3 linked regions of the Oryzias latipes genome follow. The protein of the gene in region 3 interacts with the protein of the main gene of each other region in a biochemical or structural test. Links are inferred from orthologs where the notes say so. Each region holds a gene or a part of one and is shown on either strand. Other genes may lie near its edges.

Region 1 (3,166 bases), on a different chromosome or scaffold from region 3:
GTAAGCCGTGGAAACCTGATTCCATAGGAAGGGGACTCCTCCATCAGTTCTACATCAGAAGTGCCTTCGAGGAGAAATTCGACTGACGGTTGATCACACTGGTTTTTACAACAGCAAAGCTGTTTGAGGCTTTGTTTGCTTAACCAACCAATCCAGAGGATGGAAACAGAAATCAGACAACACAAGCTGTTATAGCTTAGTCACAACTGCCCTCACGGGTCTATATGGAGCATGTGGGGGGGCCCGCACATAACGTCAAGGTTGTAGATCACCCAGTGAGCCCATAGCCCATCTTCAAATCCTCCAGTCTGCACATAAAGCCTGTTAGTGCTGTTCAAATGATTAATGCTGTTATAGTTTAGTGTTTTCCTTTTTAATCGGATCTGATTTCCACAAAGTCTGTAATCAGGACCCCTGTTAGTAAAGTTCTTTCTTTATTTTTACATTTAAACTCAAGGTGATAATGCATACAGGGGGAAATGGAAGTGTGACCAAACTCTATGCATTACATTTTTTTAGTTTTATTTTCAATTTTCTTTTCCTGCAATGCCAAGTGTGATAGTTTCTGGGAATAATCATGAAATCTTTTTGCTGTCACTGATGGGAATGGCGTGCGTGTTTTACAGATGTAAAGATCCTGGTTGACAGATGTCCTGAAGTTCAACACCTGGATTTGAGGTACCGTCCCGCTCCAGCCCAGAGAAACAGAAACACCAGATGCGTTCATTCAGAACTGCTCTTCATTAAAGTCCCACTCCGATCATCTATTGTAAAAGGGTTCCCAGTTGTCTTTTAAGTACGCTTATGCTGTTTTTAGCAACAATCAAAAGCCTGTGTGGTTCTCTAGGACACAGAGCAGTTATATAGAAATCCACCTCTGAGTTGTGGATGGATTTGTTGGTGCTTAATTATCTTTATATATCTCCATCATGAGAAAAATCCCACAAAAACATTTTAAAAACACAGTTTTTAATTGGAGTGGGTCTTTAAGTAAAGGGTTCTCCTCAGATGAACTGGATTCCTAAGTTCTGTCTCTATCAGAATTTCACTAAGTCTTTGTGTTTCAGTGACAGCACCCTGCTGATGGCTGACAGCTTCCTGGTTCTCAAACAGCTGAAGGATCTGCAGCACCTGTCCCTGAGTCGCTGCTATCACATTCACCTGGCTGCTCTCACGTAAGTCCTCACCTGGAGCTGCAGGGTGGATCTTCAGCGTCCTCCGTCCTAATGAATCATTGCAATGAGAGAGGATTGGACCACAATGGACCATGCTCATTAAACATGAACCAGGATATTCAGTTGGTCCTTCTTTTCAGTCACCTGTAGGTGGTAAAATTAAGTCTTTTTTAAAATTTGATTGGGATTAAATGTAATCGTCACAGTAAGCCGTAAGGCTGTAGCTTTGTCTCTTTACAGTTCAGTAACCCCTGACTCATCATTCTTTAGATGCATATAGGATCATGTGCTCTGTTCTTTGTTTAAATATAAGCTCTTTGCAGAAAAAGGGTGGAAATGTGTAAATGCTGATTGTTGGCTGAAAAGTGAAAATCTGGTTGGTTTGAACAAATTGAAGTTCTGCAGACTCAACTTTCTGTGTTCTTCCTGCAGGGATCTGGGACAGACGCTGCCCTCTCTGCGCCTGCTGGACGTCTTCGGCCTCGTGCAGGACAACCAGCTGCCGTCTCTGAAGAAGGAGATGCCTCACGTCAGCATCAACTCCATGCCTTTCTCTAGTGTGGCTCGCCCTACGCCCGCCAGCAAACTCCCGGGGTCCCACGGCGACCGCAGCATGTGGAACAGGAAGTGCCGCCTCAGCTTCCAGCTCTGACCGCGGACTCAGTCCTGTTTTGTTTTTTTAAAGGGACAGTTTGAGCTGCAGAGCAGGATCTACATGTCAGTTCTAGACGAGGCTTTAATCTCTCTGGTACCAATGACCCATCAGTCCTCGATGCTATGTTGGCAAACTCAAAGAGAATTGTGTCATTTAGAAAACATTTGAAGGTTTAGCCACGTGTAGTAAGTTTGAAAGCATTTTAAATCTGTTGAATGTTCTAATAATGTTAGAACTTTTAAAAGGACGACACTCGGATCAAGGCATGACCGGAAAATGCTTTTGTTCTTTGCTGCTGTTTGAAAGGAATCGGTGAGCGGTTTTCCTTTTGCTGTCAAATGTCTGGCTTTAGTTGGTGCTGAAAGCAGTGTTATGTCATTGTTGGATGATGGGAGGAGCCTTGTTTGTGGTTCCAATTCCCTAAGGCTGTTATTTTTTTTTTATGCCTCTGTTCTAAGTCAGCATTTAATGATCCTTTTTAATGGATTTTACCTTCAGCGATTGTTGGTTATCTGTTCTCATGTGTTTGCTTTTAGAGTCTGAAGCACAGGAACCGAACAGCCAATGATGCTGCAGGAGGATTTCACAAAGGTTATATTTTTGTAGTAATCAGACTGATATCTCTAATGCTCATTCATGATGACTCAAAGGTTTGGAATGCAAATGAACTACCCATTAAAATCCCTTTTCTTACCCTTTCTTGTCTTTTATGTCACCTAAAGCATTTTTAAAGACGTCCTTTGAATCAAATCGCTGCTTGGTTAAAACTCTTAACTGCACGTTATATCCGAAAAACATTCCTTCTTGATAAGGAAGGTGGTCCTCTGAGGGCACTAGTTTTACAAAATATAGTTTTGTCCTCACTTTTCTTATTTTTGTGCTCTAGGTTCTTTAGTACTCCACATTATTTTTGATTCAAAAGAAGTGGAAAAATTCAATGGAATTGATTTTTGTCTCCTCTTAATTTGAAAATGCTTTGCTTTCCGAGTTGGTCAGGCATCACATCATTTTGTGTCAAAATAAAAAACAAGCTAAAAAATCCTTGTGTATAGCGAAAACTAAAAACCAGCTTAGGGATGAGGGAAGAACCATCCACCCCCCCCCCCCCCCCCCCCCCCCCCCCATTTGGAGCCTCCTGGAGGAGGGAAGGAGGTTGTCACTTAAGATTTTACAGTACATGGCTCCGCCCATCCTCCCATCTACACAATGAAGTAGTCTTTTGCAGAAAAACACCCCAAAGCATAATGCTTCCACCTCCATGCTTGACAGTGGGGATGGTGTTCTTGGGGTCATCAGCAGCATTTCTCTTCCTCCAAACACGACAGGCGTGCACATG
Region 2 (2,476 bases), on a different chromosome or scaffold from region 3:
TGTTTATGAAAACAGTGGCCTTTTTCATATTTACCTAAACATACTTCGTACATACATCCATTTAACCCTCAGTAGTCTCTGAACTCAGAGTTTGCCAAACACATCAGCTGTTTACAGTGACGTAGGACTGACAGCGACTGCCCTGTTAGCATAGTTTTCACTGAAAATTTAAACTTCAACTTTCAAAAAGGTTTTCAGTTTGGAAACATTTTGGTTTAAAAAGAACAACGCAAAAGTTATGAGAGAATTGTGATATCCCCAGGAATAGAGTGTTGCTTTTTTTTTTTTTAAATCTTGCCTTATTTTTGTATTTATTAGATTACATTTGTCTACACTTTTTAGGTTTTTCCAGTTAAAAATGCAACTTTGAATTGAGTTTTTGGATTTTTTTCATGTTCTATTAAAAATCAGAGTGGGACCTCTGTGTTCCTATCTGTAAAGAAAAATAAAGAGGCCAGATAACAATCATTGCCACAAAATTGATTGAGCACATTGTAAAAAAAAGAGTAAAAAGCGCTCAAAAGGGTCCAGACTAAAAGGTCAAGCATCCACATGTTCAAAAAATTCACAGAAAGTTATCCCAATGCTTTTAGATCCTATAAAACAAGAAGAAAACACAAAAACAGCACAAATAAAATAGAAGAGGAGAAATGATGAGGTTTTATTTAAAGAACATTATGTACATGTTACAACATGAAGCTCTTGTGTCTGAAGCTACAAGAACGTACGGACGATTACAACTAATCTAAAAGGACGAGCTGGAATTGTGACAGCAGAACACATGAAAATATGACGAACAGGACGGTGGCTGTTCTAATGCTACAGGGAGGGCTGGCAGCACTGATCAAGGCCGGATTCATTCAAACTAACGGTCTCTTTTCACCAAAATGGCACAGTTGATTTCACTCCTAAGCAGTAAAACTAAATATGCAAATGACTGGTTTATATTTGAAAATAAAAGCCAACTATCTGTAGAAGAATCCAGCTGAAACTGACCAAACCCTGATACACAAAAAATTACTCAATAGCAGCAAGTTTGTTTTTCATATTTTGCAAAACAAAACAAAACGTGGCCAACACTGTGACCACACGGTGCCTTCAAAGTGCTCCATTACAAACAGAGACGTGATCGATCCTCAGGCAGTCCTGCACCCAGCATCAGGCTTATGACAGGCAGTAAGGTGCACATGGTAGAGGCAAGTACATTCACACGGGAGAGGGCTTCACTGCAGCTTTGATCTGCTACTAAAGGGTTTCAGCGTCTTCAAGGGGAAGTGCAAGGACACAACGGTGCAGAGCCTGATCTCCACGCAACACCGGGACTGTGAAGGGTAAAGCAACGGCCTTTGACGGATGACCGTTTGATCAAGAAAGACACAGATGGGCAGAAGGTTTCAACTATACAACAAAGGTGTAAAGAACTTCCAGTTCTGTGTGGCAGCAGTCCAGGAGAATAAAAACCACACACCAAGTCTGGTTAGGAGGTCCTTAAGCCTTGAGAGTTGGCTTCAAAGTCTTAGTAGATTGTCAGGCTGACTGAGCGGTTCATCTTTTTTCCAATTAGTCTTGAGGTTCGGAGGTTGGACTGGAGAGTGGAGCGGGTCAGGACTCTGTCGGTGGACAGAACCTTCTCCTCAGCAGCTGCTCTGGCCATCTGGGCTTTTTTCAGCTCCCTGCAGAGAAAGAAACAAGAACTCATTCAAACGGCCACAGTGGTCAGTCAAATACAAAACGGCAGCAAAAAGACTTTTAAAGACTTCTTTAACAAAAGAGAGAACAAAAACTGAAATTTCATCTTGAAAAGGCAACTGTTTTTGTTTGTTCATTAACTCTTGTGTTATCTTGTGGGGTCCAGATGACCCCACCCTTATATTGACGTGTTATCTCTACCAGAAGGTGGAGAGGATTTCATGTAATTTATGGACACCAGTGAAGATCACAAATCAGTGAAGAAAAAAAGGCTCAGAGCACTGTCTAGTGGGTCTAGATGACCCAACTCCCAATGTTAAAGTGCCTAGGATAGCACAAGGGTTAATGTGTATTGTCAGTTACAAGTTCTAAAAATACAGCTGAAAAATGTTTACATTTCCTATGTGAACATCTGCACCAGTTTCAGTTCAGCATTTGACTTTTTGATGACTGTAAGATACGCTGCGATGATTTCCACGTTCCACGCCGTCCAACCTGTCGTACTCACTTCTGAAGCAAAGCATTCTTGAATTTTTCAGCGTTCAACTCCACTCGTAGCTGGTCTGCACTCATTCTGGCAGAGGTCAGGAGCACCGGGTGTCTAATGAGGTCGGAGGCCGAAGGTCGTCTGACCTGGTCAGGGTGGATCATCAGCTAGAAAACAAAAAGAGAGGAAAATTAATTTTAAATATTTTTGACATGGATTAATATATTAGAAGAGCATACTGGTTGTACTAAAGGAGTGCTTCTCAAATAGTGGGGCGCGTCCCGATGCGAACGCGCAGAA
Region 3 (3,759 bases):
GGTTTTTTCAAGTCAATATTTCTGAGCTGCGTTTAAAATATTGTTTTTTTTTTTTCAGTAGACAGAAAAAGTTATAATTTGCATAAGAGAATTTGTCATCCTTTCTAAACTCTACACATAAAAACAATTACTCTTAATTAACGCGTTTGCAGATATTTAACAGGAAAAGAGTAAAACATGTAGCAATCAGAAGAAAATCTCACTCCGAGCAACTCTCTTCCATCTTCGTCTAGAAGCGGAACCACTTTGGATAAATCCTGACGAGCCCATTTGGGGAAGGAGGGCTTGTAGTCGGGCATGGATGTGACTCCGGGCCACGCCGTTTCGTCAGGTGTGCCCAGCGTGCGAAAGATCCTGAATAACTGATCGATCTCAGAGTCTCCGGGAAACAAAGCCCTCCTGGTGATCTGTGAACACAGACCATCAGTTTATTATCAGCGTGCTCCTAATTCTTTATTGAAGTTGGTCTTGGGGTCGAGCGCGTTACCATTTCAGCGAAGATGCACCCCAAACTCCAGACATCGACAGCTGTGGAGTAGTATTTGCAGCCGAGGAGGATTTCTGGGGCTCTGTACCAAAGTGTTACCACCTGAAAGATACCACAAAGAATCAAGAACGACTCTAATGTTTTATTATGTGAACCTGATACAAGACAAGAAAAGGTCTGAATCAGATTTTGAAAGAGCAAAGCTAAGAAAATACATATTTTGGGATTTTATCCTTTAAAATAAACATTTTCTCACTATCCAGCACTAAAAATCCCTGAACCACATTAGAAAAACAAAATCAGCTGTTATCAGATCGATTCGTACCTTGTTACAGATGAAGAAAGGGAGGAGCACACTGTACCTCATGAGTGTAGGTGCGGACCGGCACTCCAAAAGCTCTCGCCAGACCGAAGTCTGCCAGTTTGATCTCACCCTGGGCGTTGATGAGGAGGTTTTGGGGCTTCAGGTCCCGATGAAGAACTCTGTGAGAGTGGCAGAAAGCCAGGCCTTGCAGCAACTGGAAGAGATAACTCTAGAAACACAAGACAGTAAGAACAAGGAATCAGGTCTGGACAGTTTCAGGATCTTCTCTTTAAAGAGGACGCTCACCTTCACCAAAGCCAGCGGGATGCCAGTCACAGAGGAAGAGTCCATGAATTTTTTGAGGTCCTGATGGAGGAACTCAAAAACCAGATAGAGTTTGTTTTCTGTGTGAATCACATCCTGCAACCTGGACAAAAAAAAAAAGTTGGTTTAAAACATAAAATCACACAAAATGGGATTCTTTTGAACAAAATAAACATATTTCTGCATGGTTAAACACTTACTTGACAATATTTGGATGACTGAGTTCTTTAAGAAGTGAAATTTCTCGAATCGCTGTGCTTGGTACGCCCTCTGTTTCTCTGGATTAAAGAAATCACAAATTTAAGGATCAGCGGAGATTGTTTTATGAAGTTAAATGCTTCCTTTGTCCCATTGATAAATTGAATACAATTTTCCTAGTTATTGCACAATAATTCATTTTGATTAAGAATCATTTTAAATTAAAGCAATTTGTTGTGTTTATGATGCTTTTCCAAAACTTTATGGACAAATGCACATGAATTTGTAATCATCACTTTTGATCAATTTATTGACTAATTGTGTTTAGTGTTCCATTACCCCCAAAGGCAAATAGAGATGAATAAAACAGATGGTGAATAGATTTTAAATGTAACTGAGTAGGTTTAATTTGACAGTGAAACCAACCAAACAAGAGCTGAATGCTTTTATTTTGTAACATGTCAGTTTTGTTTCAACTTTGTATTATTATTTACTTTTATTTTTTAGGTCTTTGTACATAGAGTGAATTTAAAATGTTTTGTCTTTTCTGTAATTAATGAAACTGTTTCATGAGGGGACTGGAATTAAGCATTTGAGATAATCTGAATCACAACAAACGCTTCTCAGAGGTTTCAACCAGCAGGAAGAAGAACTTTTCACTTACGTATCCAGTCGGATTTTCTTCAGCGCAACCGTTTCTCCGGTCAGTTTGTTTTTAGCTTTGTAAACCACTCCATACGTCCCTTCTCCGATCTTTTCCACTTTCTGAAACGTATCCATTTCCCACCAGAATCGGACCGGACCTCTTTCTTTGTTTCGGAGCTAACGTCTTCTCGGAGGCTACAAGCATTAAGCAGCGCGGGGACCGACCTACAATTACCCGCTTCTCCGGGTTTCGTCATGCGGTCCAGGCTACAACCAAACCAAGGGGTCCCGTTCGAGGACAAACTCTCTCCGGTCAGAGAGCGGCACACAAAAACGGACAGGTGAACATCTGTCAGGTAGTAACACTAACCCCTAAATTGAGGATTAGCCCGGTGGTTGCTCCGCGGTGGAAAACAACACAACGGCGTTTCCCGCGTTGTGTTGCGGGCGTTCGTTTTTGTGCTCGAGACACACCGTACCGTTCAGAGCAGAAGCAATTTATTATTTTCCCTTTTCTTGAATTTAGCAGTAATTAAAGTCAGTCCTGATATATGGCACTGGTGAAGGTAGACCGCTATGTTTATTGTATTTAATCCAATGATTTTATTGCGAACTGGTGTAATTGGAGAAATGAGTTCCTCGTCTTCCGGCGTATAACGGAATAATAAACAAGCCGCACTCTTTGGTCACATGGTCTACGGCGTAAAGGAACCAGAAAGCTACGTAAAAGCGGTTAAATATGAAGGGAAAAAAGTTTAACGCCCACAAATAATGTGTATTTTTGGAACATTTTTTTTTATCAATGTATACATTTTCATAAATGCATTTATATTCCAATTTAACCATCAGTTAAAAAACAAAAATCAAAGACGGAGATTATTTTTTTTTAATTTTAATAACTTTATTGACAAACATTGCACATACAGAATTTCACACCAAGTGCAAATTATTGAAGTTGCCATGAGGTTGAATAACAAAAAAATAATAATAATAATAATAATAAAATGAAATAAATAATAATAAAATAAACAAAATAAAAAAAATAAACACATAATTCAATAAATGAATCAACAAAAGTAATAATACATAAAAGTTTTTTAAAAAAAGCATAAACAGTCAAAATAAAAATAAAAAGACTTCAAAGTTTCAATTGAGACAAAACCTTTTTAAGTGTTTTATTAGTTTCTTTGTTAGTGCAGCATTTCCTTGTCAAACACATTCACACTGTTTTTTGTTAGTGAGATAAAACTGAAATCCCAAAAGATTATAACCACTCCTGACAACTTTTTGGCAAAAAAGTAGTACACTTGTACACCTAAAGTTTACTTCTTAAGTATACCTAAGTATAATTACAGCAAATGTACGCCTACTATACTCCATGTACATGCAGTACAGGAAGTATACTAACAGAATACTTCTCAGAATAAATTATTACATTTTATGTCTTCAATATATAGTGTATAAAAAGTAAACTTAAAGTATAGACTCCAATGGACTATCTTTGCCACAGGATAAGAAAAGTATGTTAGAAAATATTATTAATTTTCTACTTTTGTAAACCAAATTTTACACTAACAAAAAGAAAAAAAAGTTTTTCCTTTGTTCAACTTTTCTATTTGTATTCATTGTAATATATATATATATAAATATATATATATATATATGTATTTGAAGAGATCGAAATTGAAATATCATTGTCAAGTAATCACTTTTATGTTGGTATAAATTATTGAATTACATAAGTAGCCCTCTGCAGTAACGTGGTTCTAATTCAGATGAAACACTGGAATTTATGTATTTT

Evidence for each region.
Region 1: the proteins of cdk2 (region 3) and skp2 form a complex in vitro, tested with the Homo sapiens proteins (3 studies listed by BioGRID, with this or other methods). The link is inferred for Oryzias latipes from reciprocal best matches to the Homo sapiens genes CDK2 and SKP2.
Region 2: of the proteins of cdk2 (region 3) and wee1, one has a biochemical effect on the other in vitro, tested with the Homo sapiens proteins (3 studies listed by BioGRID, with this or other methods). The link is inferred for Oryzias latipes from reciprocal best matches to the Homo sapiens genes CDK2 and WEE1.

Annotation. Positions count from the first base shown.
Region 1 is NC_019870.2:24,272,154-24,275,319, reverse strand, and holds the end of skp2 (S-phase kinase-associated protein 2), read left to right. Parts: intron 1-626; coding exon 627-678; intron 679-1,067; coding exon 1,068-1,175; intron 1,176-1,607; coding exon 1,608-1,827; 3' UTR 1,828-2,524; downstream 2,525-3,166. UniProt on the Homo sapiens protein: Substrate recognition component of a SCF (SKP1-CUL1-F-box protein) E3 ubiquitin-protein ligase complex which mediates the ubiquitination and subsequent proteasomal degradation of target proteins involved in cell cycle progression, signal transduction and transcription.
Region 2 is NC_019864.2:7,427,234-7,429,709, forward strand, and holds the end of wee1 (wee1-like protein kinase), read right to left. Parts: intron 2,344-2,476; coding exon 2,198-2,343; intron 1,674-2,197; coding exon 1,517-1,673; 3' UTR 633-1,516; downstream 1-632. UniProt on the Homo sapiens protein: Acts as a negative regulator of entry into mitosis (G2 to M transition) by protecting the nucleus from cytoplasmically activated cyclin B1-complexed CDK1 before the onset of mitosis by mediating phosphorylation of CDK1 on 'Tyr-15'.
Region 3 is NC_019863.2:27,094,180-27,097,938, forward strand, and holds the start of cdk2 (cyclin-dependent kinase 2), read right to left. Parts: upstream 2,413-3,759; 5' UTR 2,094-2,412; coding exon 1,978-2,093; intron 1,394-1,977; coding exon 1,316-1,393; intron 1,219-1,315; coding exon 1,098-1,218; intron 1,021-1,097; coding exon 850-1,020; intron 590-849; coding exon 488-589; intron 408-487; coding exon 204-407; intron 1-203. UniProt on the Homo sapiens protein: Serine/threonine-protein kinase involved in the control of the cell cycle; essential for meiosis, but dispensable for mitosis. Phosphorylates CABLES1, CTNNB1, CDK2AP2, ERCC6, NBN, USP37, p53/TP53, NPM1, CDK7, RB1, BRCA2, MYC, NPAT, EZH2.